Linked DNA regions of Neurospora crassa OR74A. The protein of the gene in region 1 purifies or fractionates together with the protein of each later gene. This does not show direct contact. Links are inferred from orthologs where the notes say so. Each region holds a gene or a part of one and is shown on either strand. Other genes may lie near its edges.

Evidence for each region.
Region 2: the proteins of NCU01502 (region 1) and NCU06943 purify together in Saccharomyces cerevisiae (affinity purification with mass spectrometry; 5 studies listed by BioGRID). This does not show direct contact. The link is inferred for Neurospora crassa OR74A from reciprocal best matches to the Saccharomyces cerevisiae genes UTP7 and NOP56.

Annotation. Positions count from the first base shown.
Region 1 is NC_026502.1:3,251,123-3,258,485, reverse strand, and holds NCU01502 (small nucleolar ribonucleoprotein complex subunit), read right to left. Parts: upstream 4,356-7,363; 5' UTR 4,206-4,355; coding exon 3,897-4,205; intron 3,832-3,896; coding exon 2,476-3,831; 3' UTR 2,286-2,475; downstream 1-2,285. Other genes in the region: NCU01500 (nicotinamide riboside kinase 1), read right to left, coding at 1-331, 417-562; NCU01501 (mitochondrial peptidyl-tRNA hydrolase Pth2), read left to right, coding at 1,011-1,677, 1,773-2,098; NCU01503 (pre-rRNA processing protein Tsr1), read left to right, coding at 4,716-4,824, 4,992-7,336. UniProt on the Saccharomyces cerevisiae protein: Involved in nucleolar processing of pre-18S ribosomal RNA.
Region 2 is NC_026507.1:846,658-854,308, forward strand, and holds NCU06943 (SIK1), read right to left. Parts: upstream 4,660-7,651; 5' UTR 4,085-4,659; coding exon 3,915-4,084; intron 3,730-3,914; coding exon 2,334-3,729; 3' UTR 1,922-2,333; downstream 1-1,921. Other genes in the region: NCU06942 (vacuolar protein sorting-associated protein VPS4), read left to right, coding at 48-700, 778-1,228, 1,339-1,560; NCU06944 (hypothetical protein), read left to right, coding at 6,836-7,651. UniProt on the Saccharomyces cerevisiae protein: Required for 60S ribosomal subunit synthesis.

The DNA.
Region 1 (7,363 bases):
GGAGTCGAGGGTGGGCTGTTTCGGACTGTTGCTTAGCGACTTTGACTTGGCAGTGGTGATGGTCTTACCAGGCCCCGTTTTTTGTTTGGGCGGCGCCGCTTTGCTGGCTGCTGCTGATGATGACGATGGAGGGTAATAACTACTACTACTAGTAGTAGTACTACTACTACCGTGGGTGTGTCTCCGGGAAAGAAAGGGTCTGGTAAGATTCATGGTACTACTAACTGGTAACTCGCCCGTGGCGCGGATGTGCTCGAGGGCCGCCGTCATGTCGGGGATCGAGAGGGCTTCGGGACAGTCCCAGTTTGTGAGGCCTTCTTTCATAGGAATTCTGTTTATTTTGTGAGACACATATATCGGTGGTTAGAGACTAGTTCTCGAGTGAGATGAGATTAGGAGGAGGAGAGGGAGCTTACTCGGACTCGGGCTTGTAGAAATCATCTTCGTGTAGGATAAAGGTATTGGGAAAGATATCGCGGAGAAGTCGAGCCAATGTCGTCTTGCCGCTCGAGGAACATCCGCTGATTCCGATGACGACGGCTTTCTGATTTGGGTCCAACATCGTGAAAGAGCGTGGAGGTGTTGAGGTGTAGTTGAGCTCCAGTTCGACGCCGCGATGCTATGTCATGGAGAGAGAGTCCGTTTAAGTATTGAATAAAGAAAACAAGAAAAAAGAAATAAAAGAAGAGGACTACGTAGGAGTGTTATCTAAACTGTAAGAGTCAACAGAAGTGGTTCAGTTCGGAATTCTTGGGCGAGGTGCTCACAACTGAACCAACGTTGGGTTGTTGCCATTGGTGGTTTCCTTGAAAGGAACCAAAACGGTACGTACCTCCCCGCGTATAAGCCAGGGGTTAGTGTAGGGGATCGCCTGCCTGCCGGAACCAACCAAAGCGATAAGGCTTGTTGACACATCCACTGCTCTCCATATCGTTCTAGGCGCCTTCTAGCACATTGACCCCCCTGTGGGATTTTCCATTCCGCTGGCTTCTTCCTGCTGTCAACAACCCATGCACGTCATCCCCCTTCTTCCAACTCGAACAGCAGCAGGAGCAGCACTCCGAGTCCGTCTAGATTTTCCAAGACAACAACGAGCTTCCGTCAGTGTCACAAAGAACTATCGATTCGCTTTCTCGACCGCCACAACAACTACTGCCACCATCACAAACTCCAGACCGCGAGTAGTAGTTCCTCATCAAGCACCGCCGTATCAACATCACCGCCGACCCTTCACCACCAAAACAGAAAAATTCACCACCGCCCTCACAACCGCCACAATGTCCGACATTCCAAACGCCATGCCCTCCATGGTCATCCTCTCGACCTCCATGATCTCGCTCATCACCGGCTTCGTGCTCGGCGTCTACGCCATCCGCGGCTACCTGATCCCGCCCGAGCTGAAGGAGGAGCGGCGCCGGAACTTTCAGGACCCCGTCGAGAGCGAGGAGTCGGAGGTGGACGAGGACGATTACATACTAGACCACGCGCCCAACTGGGCCAACGGGCTCGAGGCCGATCAGCGCCAGGGCTTGCGCGCGCGCGGTGCTGCTGCCGCTGAGGAGAAGAAAAAGAAGAAGAAGCAGCAGCAGGAGAAGGCGGCGCCCAAGTTGGGACTGGATCCGACTGAGGAGTGCAAGTTGGTCTTGGTTGTGAGGACGGATCTGGGCATGACCAAGGGTATGTTTTTTTTTTTTTTTTTTCTGATATCTCTTTTCTACTTTATCCCTTAACCTTCGGTTTATTGACGTGTTGCTGTGGTGGAAAACAAACAGGCAAAATCGCAGCTCAATGCTCCCACGCCACCCTCGCCTGCTACAAGCGCCTTTTCTCTGCCGCCCAGCTCGAGCCCCTGTCGCTGTCGGCCCGCCTGCTCCGTCAGTGGGAGCGCAACGGCCAGGCCAAGATCGCCGTGCAAACCAAGACCGAGGATGAGATGCTGGAGCTGATGGCCAAGGCGCGCAGCTTGGGCGTCACTGCTGAGGTGATTCAGGATGCTGGCCGTACGCAGATTGCCTCTGGGTCCAGGACCGTGCTGGGCGTTGGTCCGGCGCCTAAGAGCTTGGTTGATGAGATCACTGGTCACTTGAAGTTGCTGTAAAGGGGGAAGACTTTGTAGCGGGGAGAGGATGGAGAAAGTGTGTTATGTTGACGGTAGCATGAACGTAGATACAAAGAGAAGGACGAGAAGCACGAAAAATGGCGTAACGGGGACGGTATAAAAGTATCATTGGGCTTAGAGAGCGATACAGTCAGGTAAAGACTTTGATGCATGTAAGGCGTAGGTCTTGATTTTTACTTTTGAATAGATTATCAAGCAACAAGATGAGTCTCCACATACACGTAAGCATATCAAGTAAACAAATATAGTATCAGCACAGCATCCGGTCGACTGACCGTCTTTGGTTTCATTAAGTGACTGATTCTGGGTATCATCATGTACTCTGTTCTTCCACCCCTCCCACCAATTTTCATGCTCTACTCTTTCCTCGCAAACCTGGCCAGCGTAGGCCCCAGCTCGGCCACCTTCTCCTTGTGCCTCTCCCCGTTCTTCTCCTGCATCTGCTTGTACATCTCCTCGGCCTTGAGCCGCTTCTCGTCGATAATGTTCTTCTTCTTCTGCTTCCGCAGGTACTTCTTGAGCGCGCTGTTCTTGCCTCTGGCCCGGTTGCGCATCTCCTCCTCCAGATCCGGCGGCCCGGCGTCCAGATCCTTGTCCGCCTCCCGCTGCTTCGCCGACCGCAAATCGAGGGTGCCGATAAAGTTGGGGTCGAGCGCAATCATCTCGGGCGCGAGCTTGTTGAGCAGCTGCTTGACTTCGCCCTCCTGTCTCTGCTTCTTGGTCTCGTACGGGTTGACTTCCAAGGCGTCGAAGTTGGCCTCGCCGGCGCCGGGGATGATGAGGGACGAGAACCCTTCGCTGTGGCCGACACCGAGAACATCGTCAAAGGGGCACCACCGCACCCGCTCGACGCGCTTGCCCTCACCGCCCCACGTCATGTAGGGAGACTGGACCTTTTCTTGTACCGGCTTCTCCTTCGAGAAGAGACCCTTCCAGACCGTTGTCCTGGTGCCCCAGCCGACAGCGGTAAGGCCGGTATCTGAGATGGCGACGGACGAAGCGGGCGCCCGGGTAAAGTAGTTGTTGACCTCCTTGAACATGCGGATATCCCAAACGGCCATCTTGCAGTCCTGTCCTGTTGTCACCATGTAGCGGCCTTCGCGGTCGACAGCCATGGATCGTACGGGACCACGGTGGGCAAGGAGCTTGACCAGAGGTTCTGACGAGTTGGGCGACCATAGCGTTACTGTGCCGTTCTGGTGACCAACATGGAGGATAGCGTTCCAGGGGTTTTGTGTCATGGAAACGGGTGTGCCCAGCTTCGTTGCGATTTCGGTGACGATCTGACCGGTCGATGTGTCCTGGTACTTGAGCTGGCCGTTTGTGCCCAGGGTGGCCAGCAGGAAGTGGTAGGGGAGGAATTCGAGGTGGGAGACTTCGACGTGTTTCCTTAGGCAGTGGAGCTCGACGCCCTGCGAGTCGTAGATGTAGGTGTACTTCTTCTGAGCGACGGCAAAGTATTGGTTGTTGTGTAGCCACTTGACGTCCCTGATGGTCTCTCCCAACTGCAACTCACAGCCCAGCTTGCCGTCTCTCCAGTCCATCGTAGCGACATGGCCCTTTCGTCCTGCCAGAATCAGATCCCGGCCATTCCTCGAAAAATCGCAAATGTAAGGGCCTAGTTGGTCGAGCTTCAAGTCGAACTTTTTCTGGGCGACCTCAATGTTGACTTCGCTGACGATGTCCTCCTGGCGAACCTTGTATGTGCGTTCCTATCGTGACCAGCGCGGTTAGTATCGCGCAAGAGGCTATAAACTCCCAAGCCATGGCTACTCACAAGCTCATGTTCAGCCTCGAGGAAACCGCCGGCATTCTCGAGAAGGATTTCGGCCTCCTTGGCCTTTAGCGTGGCCGTCTGGTACTTTTCTTCGAGGTTGGTAAGGTTGCGCTTGAGCTTTTTGTCCTTGACGTTCTTGACATCGATCTTGCGACCACGGCCGTACGACTTCTCTGCTGCCTTGACTTTGCGGATCTTGTTGGCCTCGGCCTTTGATCGGAACTCGCTTCGGACGTTGTTGATGGCAACGGCGCCGCTGGGCTGCTCTGCCCTCGAGAGGGAGATTTCGGCCCTGTCTGTAGTCTCCATGGTGCCAATGGGTCGACGCGACACAATGGGAATGGGTAATATGTGTGGTGGACTAGGACAGTTGGATCGGCGACGGGATATGGATGGGGGCTGAATATGGAATTGGTCTGGCGGTTTCTCGGTGTGCCCGTGTCTGTCCCTCGCTTTGGCACTTTGAATGTTTCCTTTCCTCGACAACTTTTTTGGGGCCGGACCCACTAAAAAGTTGGATGGGGCAGCTGTTCCGCAGCGATCATTGGCTCCACTGCGTACAAGAGTCCGATAAGATAAGTAGCGAGACGGCCGCCCATGTTCGCACAACTCAAAAAAATGCAACGAGTGCCCCGCCATTGACATTGTCCCCATCACTTTATTCGATACTCGATAGACGGATTGTGACCAGAGAGGTTCTCGAAATCTCTTTTCAGTCCCAACCCCCCAGCCTCTTCTCTTCATCGCCTCCCCAGGTCCAACATCCTGGCGTCAAACTCGCTCCCTTTTCGGTTCAAAGCAGGCGGCGATTCCAGCAATATGCCCGGCGCCGTGAGCGGCCACTCGCATCGGCCGACGACCAAGGCGTCGAACAAGCCCTTCAAGTCACGCCATTCTACCAAGGGTGCTCTCCGGAATGCTGCCAAAGGTACGGATTGCATATAACAGCCGTGCCTCATGCCAAGGTTGTTGCCTTGGACTATGCTCTACTTCACCCAACTTTGGCGCACCAAGCCCAAGCAGACATGAATATACAGCTGCATATAAAGAGGTCGACAACGTCCACACAGCGCTAATACTTTCAACATTCTATAGGCAAGGTAGCCGAGGAGAGAGGTGTGCGCAAGACCCCCCATCAACAAGTCATGTCCAAGTTCGACCGTCGCAACCGTAACAAGCAGCTTCAGCTGCAAAAACACAAGGAACATCTCCAGGAGACCTCCATTTTCGCCGGCAAGGATGGTGCCCCCAGAAACGTGGCCGTTATCCCCCTGTGCAGCGACGGTGACGCTACCGAAGCCATCAAGAGCCTGAACGCCAGCATTGATATCGAGACCGAGGTGCCCGAGGGCGCATTCCGCGTTCCCGTCGACAGATTCAAGCAGAAGCTTCAATACTTCCCCCTCAAGCGCGACCTTACCGCCTGCCTGGACGCTGCCAGAGTCGCCGACTATGTCGTTCTCGTTTTGTCCGCGCAGGAAGAGGTCGATGAACTTGGCGAGCTGATCTTGCGCAGCGTTGAAAGCCAGGGTCTCTCTACCCTCTTCACCGTCGTCCAGGGCCTCAACAAGATCGAGCCCCAAAAGCAGAGACTCTCCGTTCTTTCGTCTCTCAAGTCCTACATCACCCACTTCCACCCCGAACAGGATAAGGTCTTCAGCCTCGACAACAGACAGGAATGCTCCAACCTCATGCGCTCGCTATGCAGCACTACACCCAAGGGCATTCGCTGGAGAGACGAGAGGAGTTGGATGCTTGTGGAGGAGGTCAAGTTTGGTGAGTCTACCGTGCTTACCGGTGTCGTCAGGGGCAAGGGCTTGAAGGCCGACCGCCTGGTGCAGGTTGGCGATTGGGGCACCTTCCAGGTTGAGAAGATCACAGCAGCTCCCTTGGCCAGGAGGAAACGTGGAGAGGAGGGCATGAACGTGGAGGAGGGCGCTGAGGAGATTCTCGACCAGCCTACCGACGACCGCGATGATCTTGTCGACCTTGCGCCCGAGGAGGTTCGCATGGAGGACGACGACGATGACGAAATGAACGACGGAATGACCACAATGACGACTTCAAAGAAGGGTGTTTTGTTGGACGACCACCATTACTTCTCAGAGGAGGAGCCCGAGGCTTATACTGCGCCAAAGAAGCTTCCCAAGGGTACATCAAAGTACCAGGCTGCGTGGTACCTAGACGACGATGTGTCTGATTCCGGCTCAGATATGGAAGAGGACGATGAGATGGAGGACGACGACGAGGAAGAGGCCGCCAGGCCAGAGGATGGCGAGGAGGGTCTTGCTGGTTACGCGCCAACAGAAGCCGGACAAACCGAGTACCCACAAACTGAGGGCGGCTTCATCCAACCTGATGCTGATGAGGATGCCAAGCAACTAGAGGCTTTCCGCAAGCAAAAGCGGGATGAGGCTCAGGATGACCTCGAGTTCCCTGATGAGATCGAGCTCCACCCCCACGTTCTTGCTCGTGAACGTCTAGCCAAGTACAGAGGTCTCAAGAGCTTGAGGTCAAGCCCTTGGCAGGAGGATGAGGACCGCGCATACCAGCCAGAGGATTGGGAGCGCTTGTTGAAGATCCAAGACTACCAGGCCTCCAAGATCAGGGCGTCTAGGGAAGCCCTTGTCGGAGGTGTTGCTCCTGGTACCCGCGTCCACGTTTACCTTAAGGACGTGCCCGCGACCATCCAGCAATCCTACAACCCCAGCCAGCCCGTCACTCTATTCTCCCTGCTCAGGCACGAGTACAAGAAGACTGCTGTCAACTTCCTCATCAACCTGAGCGCGGACGCTGCCGCACCCATCAAGGCCAAGGAGGAGTTGATCATACAGTGCGGTCCCCGCCGCTTCGTCATCAACCCGCTCTTCTCCCAGGGCGGCAACACTCCCAACGACGTCCACAAGTACTGCCGGTACCTGCACCCCGGCCAGTCGGCTGTCGCTACTTTTACGGGTCCTGTCACATGGGGTGCTGTACCCACCCTCTTCTTCAAGAGGCAAGTGCCGGGCTCCGTGCTTGACGAAGATGGCGAGCCCGTCTCCAATCTGCCGCTCAGCCTCGTCGCCACCGGCACTGCCCTGCCCCCCTCGACATCGCGCGTCGTCGCCAAGCGTGCCATCCTTACCGGTCACCCGTACCACATCCACAAGAAGATTGTCACCATCCGCTACATGTTCTTCAACAGGGAGGACGTTGAGTGGTTCAAGGCTCTGCCTCTGTGGACCAGGCGTGGCAGGAGCGGTTTCATCAAGGAGGCGCTGGGTACCCACGGTTACTTCAAGGCTACCTTTGACGGGCGCATCAACCCTCAGGACTCTGTGGGCGTCAGCTTGTACAAGAGGGTGTGGCCCCGGAGTGCCAAGCAGCTGGGTGCGCCTCTGCTGGATGCCGCGGCGCTCCAGCAGGAGGTTGATGAGGACGCTATGGATGCGGAATAGAGGAAGAATTTCATGTCTGTTTGGCTA
Region 2 (7,651 bases), on another chromosome or scaffold:
AATTCACGCGACATCACTTTACACGCTTCGAGCCGCCGCCGCACAAAATGTCCAATACCGACTTCCTCGGCCGCGCCATCGAGCAAGTGCGCAAAGCCATCGAAGCCGACAACGCCGCCCAGTACGACAAAGCCTACCAGCTGTACTACCAATCGCTCGAACTCTTCATGCTCGCCCTAAAATGGGAGAAGAACCCGAAATCCAAGGAGATGATCCGGGCCAAGACGGGCGAGTACATGGACCGGGCCGAGAAGCTCAAAGCGCACCTGGCGGACGCGGAAGCGAAGCGGAAGAAGCCCGGGATGGTGGGCGCGAACGGGGGTTCGACGGGCGGGACGGGGAAGGGGAAGGAGGCCGGGGAGGACGGTAATGGCAATGGAGAAGCGTTGGATGAGGATAGCAAGAAGCTGAGAAGTGCGTTGGCGGGCGCGATTCTGCAGGAACGGCCGAACATCAGCTGGGATGATGTGGCTGGTCTAGAGGGTGCCAAGGAGGCCCTCAAGGAGGCGGTCTTGTTGCCAATCAAGTTCCCGCATCTGTTCCAGGGGAAGAGGCAGCCGTGGAAGGGTATTTTGCTGTATGGCCCACCGGGAACAGGAAAGAGTTATTTGGCCAAGGCAGTGGCGACAGAGGCGAAGAGCACGTTCTTCAGCGTGAGCAGCTCGGATTTGGTGAGCAAGTGGATGGGTGAGAGTGAACGGTATGTTTTGTCCTGTTGTCTCTGTCCTTATGCCACTATCGTGACTGAGAAGCTAACGATTTTCCAACAAAAAACAGTCTAGTAAAGCAACTCTTCGCCATGGCCCGAGAAAACAAGCCCTCCATTATCTTCATCGACGAGATCGACGCCCTCTGCGGTCCGCGCGGTGAAGGCGAGTCGGAAGCCTCGCGCAGGATAAAAACCGAACTTTTGGTCCAAATGGACGGTGTCGGCAAAGACAGCAAGGGCGTGCTGATCCTGGGCGCCACCAACATCCCCTGGCAGCTGGATGCTGCTATCCGTCGCCGCTTCCAGCGCCGCGTGCACATCACTCTGCCGGACCTGGCGGCGCGCACCACCATGTTCCGGCTGGCTGTGGGCGACACCCACACGGCGCTCAAGGCGGAAGACTTCCGCGAGCTGGCGCGCGCGGCGGAGGGTTATTCGGGTTCGGATATCAGTATTGTTGTGCAGGATGCGTTGATGCAACCGGTGAGGAAGATTCAGCAGGCTACGCATTTCAAAAAGGTTCGTTCTTTTTTGTTTTTCTCTTTTCTCTCCCATCCCTGACCCTCAACCCCTACTTCTACCTCTATTCATGATGCGAGATTGTTAACTTTTGTTACTACAAAAAACAGGTCGTCCACGAAGGCAAACAAATGCTCACGCCCTGCTCGCCAGGCGATCCGGACGCCATCGAAATGACGTGGGAGCAGGTACCCTCGGACGAGCTGCTCGAACCATTTGTCGACAAGAAGGACTTTATCAAGGCCATCAAGGCCAGCAGGCCGACTGTGTCGGGCGAGGATCTCAAGAGGAATGAGGAATGGACAAAGGAGTTTGGTAGTGAGGGTGCGTAGAGAGATGCCTGCCACAGTGTGGGGGGCGGGTGTGGTCAATGGTTCGTTCCGTGCGGTTTATTCTTGTTCTTTGGTGTTTCTCCCATGGAAAGCGAAGGAGTGGTATACAGAGGGCGGCGGGTATCTGGATGTTTTAGGTACTTTTTACTTTGGGGTTAAGAGTCTTGCAAGCCCCTTTTTCTATCTTGGCAGCACATTGCATGCGGCAAGGCACATGTTTACTACGAAGACTTGATGATGACGATATTATTCTAGCGAGAAAATCAGGGGAAGATGGAGTGTCGATGGGCGTTTTGCAATCATGCGATATTGGAAGAGTACATAGATTCATGACACTTCACATCAACCAGGTACTTTTAGACGTACGTTCCGTTTCGTTTAATGAGCCTTTGTTTTTACCCATATCGCCGCCATATGATGCTCCATGGGTATGATGCTAGTACACACGCACATCCTTTTCAACTTTTTTGCGCTACCCCTCTATGATCAGTCGTAGATGGCAAGAGATGTGAATGACGACAACGACGAACTATTTATGATTCTTGCAAGAAACAAGTAGACCCGTAAAACTCCTTTGTACCAGATTTGACCCATACCCCATACATTATAAGAAACTCCCGAGGATAACAACGACAACAGAGCGAACCAACAAGAACGACGTGCCAAAAAACGCGACGAGAAGCTCTAAACAAGATGACGAAGAAAAAAAGTAAAAATCGTGAAAAAGACACAAGTGGTGACGCTGCTTTTTGGCTCTTTTTCTTTCGGTCTTTTTACTCAGACTTCGACTTCTTCTTCTTCTTCTTCTTCTCGGGTTCCGCAGCGTCGGGGGCGTCTACCATCTCGACGTCTTCGCTAGTCGCTTTCCTCTTCTTGTCCTTCTTGTCCTTCTTCTCCTTCTTCTCCTCCTTGTCCTTCTTCTTGTCCTTCTTCTCCTTCTTGTCCTTCTTGGAGTCGGCGGCGTGGGTGGCGGTGTGCGAGTCGACCATCTCGGTGTCAATGTCCATGTCACCCTCGTCGTCCATGACGAGCTTGATGGCCTTGTCCATGGCCTCGGTGTTCTTCATGGGCTTGATGCCCTTGGCGTACCACTCCAGACGCTGCTCAAGCTGCTCACGCATAACCTCACCAAAGCGCTTAGTGGGGTTCTCAGAGAAGTTGTCGATACGGGAGGCAATGGAGCACTTGTTGGCGAGGTAGCGGGAGATGCGACCCTTGACCTTGGGACCGGCGCGGCCAATGAAGGTGCTCTGGTAGAGGAGACCGTACTTGGGGGTGGCGCCCTTGGTCTTGAGAGCGCGGAAGAGGGCCTTCTCGGCACCGAGGATCTGGAGGGTAGAAGCGGGGTACTTGGCGAGGTTGGTGAGGGAGCCGGCGTGCGAGATGAGGCGGGCGGCAACGGGGGTGCCGAGGATGACCTGCAGGTTAGGAGCGACCTCGCCCATCTTCTTGTCGAGCGACTCGGCGAGGATGCGGCGGTAGTCGGCCATCTTGGAGACGTTGTCCGCGAGGTCCTTGACCATGTTGAGATCCATATCGCTGATGTCCTGACCCATGGAGACCTTGGCGGCCTGGATGATGGCCTTGGCCTTGTCCTCGTCCTGGTTAAGGACGTTGGCGAGCTCGTCGAGGGACTCGTCGCTGAGAGACTTCTTGTTGCCGACAGCGAGAACGACCTTGGCGTAGGTGCCGTTGTCGGAGACGATGCGAATAAGCTCAGGGAAGTGCCAGCCGTACCACTCCCTCACGCGCATGGCGCCGGAGTTGATACCCTTGTCGAGGGCATCGAGGGTCGCGATACCCTGGATGATGTGGTTGTCGTTCTTGTGGACGGAGAACTTGACCTTGGCGCGGGAGTAGGCGTGACCGAGACCGAGCTGGGCGCGGTTGATGTCACCGTCCTGGAGGCCCTTGAGGAGCTTGCCGGCGTGGGTGCGGATGCCGCGAAGGAGGGCAGCGACGACCTCGGAGGTATCGGCAGCCTCGCACTGAATACCGGGGAAGTTTCCGCTAATTTCACCAGCGAGCCTCTTGTCGACGACACCGAGGACGATCTTGCTCTTCTTTCCGCTGGTCTGGGGGAGGTTGAGTTCGAGGGTGTTCTTGAGGTGGTCGGGCATGATACCCTCGGAGATGAGGTTGATGGCCTCGAGACCGTGGGCGGCAGAGCTGGAGGTTAAGGAACGTTAGTTTATGGTTCAGCCAAGACAAGCAATTCACACAATGTTTCTGTCCCTCCCAACATCATCACCACCACCACCACCACCACCACATGACCATGAAATCACCACAACCACCTCAACCCGAAACACCAACTCCAAAACCACACAATGCTTTTGCTTCTGGCCACCTACTTCCAAGGGTTGAAGCTGCGGAGCTTCACCATCTTGCCGAACTTGTCGAGATCCTTCATGGCATCCTTGACCTCGGGCAGCTCCAAGCCGACAGTGTCGGCCTGGTGGACGACCTCGAAGAGCGAGAAGCCGACCGCGCTTTCGAACAGAAGATAGTTGACGTTGGCCATCTTAGCGGTGATGTTGTCGTATGATGACTCTGGATTGATGGGTGACTGGGTAACCGGGTGCGCTGGGATTGGAGTGTTGTGCGCAATTGGGCGTCGTTCAATGCCACCGGTGCATGAACTCAGTCTTCGGTCTCCGGGAATCAGAACGGCGCTGTGTTTGGATATTTTTTTGCTCTGCCACTTTTGCCCTGGACAAGTTTTTTCGAAATTTTTGCGGCAAGCTCAGGACGAAGCACGGGCCACAGCCATGCGGGGTGGGGATTCTGCCTACCCCAATTCACGCCGCATTGGCCACCCCATTGGCCCGTTGGAGCGCTGTAAGCTGGGAAGGCTTAGCAACCAATGGCAGCAGCAATTGTGCGAAACTCCTTTGGATTTTCGTGTCGATAAGAATTCGGATAAGAAGAGTCTTGCCAGCTGAGCGACAGCTGTCCGTGTGCCTGGCCTCTTGTCTGTCTGACAGTCGGGTCCTCGTCGTCGTCCTACCTCCCACACTGACACGGGACATTTTGCTGCCCCATTCACCCACACCCACTCACCACACCTGACTGACTCTTTGCATCGAACTCAACCAGATCGCATATCATTTGGCCAATGGTCGAGTTCCCTCACTCACATCAGCCCTATGGGCTCGATCTGCATGTCTGACCTGCACAATGGGAGAGATTGAGGCTTGGACTGTTTGGCGGTGTCGGTAACAGTCCGTCCTTCATCGATCCTTTTACGGTTTTCCATTTCCATTCGGAAAGCAGCGAGACGGATGATTCATGATGAATCCTTGTTCTTCTTTCCATTGCGGCAATGCCACAATCCCCTTACTTATTCGGTCGTTTTCGTGCCAATATGCAAACACATACTCCTTTGTCGTCGACCGAGACACATGCCATCCCATGTTGTTTGTTGGCGTCATGTCTGCTCACACGAGACACGATATGCAGTCAGATCGAGAAATGTGAAGGCGTTGGTCACGGGTTCTCTCGCTTCTCGCCTCACAAACTGGTGTACTTCAGTTCTCTCTTTCGGGCTCCCCTCTGCCACCTCATGTCAACATGCCCACCTCGGACTTGGGTTGTCACAAGTGTCGACCGCTTCGCATTCCCAAGCAAGACCCGGCGTCCATGAAGGGATTACCAACTGAAGTGACCGGACCGCCCGATGACTCAGGCCAGCATTATCGACTGCCCGGTCTCAGGACATTCAACGCATCGTCTACTACGACGTTGATGTTCTCGTCAGGGCGTGGCAGAAACAACAACAACAACAACAAGACAAGACTTGGGATGCTTTGATTATTCCATTGTGTTCAAAGCATGTCGCTCATCATCGGTTTCACATCCTATAATGGCCGTTGTCTGGATGATCACAGGCGTCGCAATCTGGGAATGCCTTCTCTGGCTTCTGCGGGATTGGTCGTGAAACGGTTCCGTCCAGCCGGACATCCAATCAGCGACACCAACTCCGGGTCTTCGAGGGATGATACAGTATGTACAGTGGCGGAAGAGCCCTACAGCATGCACGACACCCCCAAATTGCCCCAATGCTCCCGTTCTTCAGCGCATCAGAAGCGTACGGGTTTCGATGGCGCACCATTCCGGCCCGTTGCATGGATGTGGTGCCGCTGTGTACCTATCATTTCCATTTTGGGTCTCGCAGCGTCGACGACACCATCACGATACTACACAGTACCTCAGTCGATCCAGTCTCTTCCGACAGTTCAAGTGATGCCAAGTCCATGGTGGTATTTGGCGTGGTGATTTGTTTCCGTCGTTTGTATCATGATGGCTCTTCGGGCGAGCAGCTTGCCTCACGCTCATACGTAGCTCATGTAGCTCGAAGCGCGAGATCCGTGGCTTTCGAATTAGGGGCATCAACATCAACCAAGCAAACGTGTCGTGGAGCTGTGAACGAGAATATGTACCCGACCTATCTGACCAATATATCAAATCGGTACTCGACATGCACAAGGAACAGCGCTGATACTACCCTCCACCATCTCCTAGACGCCATTGGATGCCCCAGTCGAGGCCTGAACAGTGCGCAGCTGCGATGAGCTTCCATCTACACCGACCTTCCAAGCCAAGAGACTGTCAAAGAGGTACTCTGCAGTGTCTGTCTATCCGTCCCCATTGATTCAGCCTTATGCCCTCCGGGTTACGTCGCTATACAGCGGCATCTCCGTACGACATAACCCCATCCTTACGTACCTTGCCAAGCCTAGTCTATTCGCTAACTTACCCTGGACTTGGAACAATGGCCAGTCTACGAGCTCCGCGCCGGCACACCCCACGAAACCATCATCAAGGACCGCGACTTCGCCTTGTTCTGACATGATACTACCGTCTCTCCGCGTCACCCTAGAGGCCGGCATAGGAAATGAAAGCACCGCCTCCTCCAGGAACCGGTCCGTCTCCCGATAGCTTGGTTACTTCTACCCGGATCACGTCGGCGCTTGAGAGCCTCTTGATCTCACTACCCCCACAAGGTCTTGCACAGCCCTGTGCGCAGCCAGTTCGTGAATCCACTTCATCAATTGGTCGAATGAGCATAGATCTGGATACAAAACATGATCTGACACCCCTAGAGCTTCAATAAATAAGAACAAGACCCCTTCTTGAACAAGGTCTATCTGGAGGTAACCCGTTTCCTGGCTTCTTCTTCTCACGGGATTCTGCACAGACTGATACTCTTGGCTTATATCTTTGTGGTCTAACAGAAACCATACACCTGCCCAATACCGTCCAAATCCTCTTCATGGCTCTGAATCACCATCAGCCAAAGGTGGACCGTGTGAGAGAAGGATTCACCAGCTATGCCGTCGGGGAGATTGATGCTTTTTCGTATCAGGTGCCGACTACTACATCCAAGGAAAACCCATATTCCGAGACACATACCGACAACATCTGGCAAGAGACCGACTACTTTCCGACTTACGATCATGATCTCATCAGCAAACACTCCCGCGCCTCGCTTGCCTCGACATCTAGACGGAGCTCAGCTGCTCCCAGCATCTTTTCGACTGCTGGCCTAAGAATCTCAACTGCCTCGACGGCATACTCACGATATTCGGTTCGACAACACTCCGTGGACTCGGCGGATCCTAATATGTCTGCAACACCTTGTAGTTCTGGGAAATGCGATGACGGCTTCAACACCGATGACTACCCACCTCGCTATCATTGCACATTCTGCGACGCCATGTTTGCGTGTCCCGGCCAGTGGAGGGATCACGAACTCAGGGATCACGACAGACCCGAGGAGCATTTGTGCTCCATTTGCCACGATTCTTTCTCTGAACGACCATCTCTTGCATCCCATTGTCGAGATGTTCACAATCTTTCTTCTTCCCCAACGACTCAACACATAGTCAAGCTACCGACAAGAGGTGCTTGGGGATGTGGATTCTGCGGTGCCTTCGTGCAGTCGCGTCCTGACTACCTAGATCACGTCGGCCGGCACTGCGAAGAAGGCATGCAAAGAGCCCATTGGCAGCACTCCTCTGTGATTCGTGGCCTTCTAAAACAGCCAAAGATAGCGGAAGCATGGGACCGCCTGGTTACGAACCAAGAG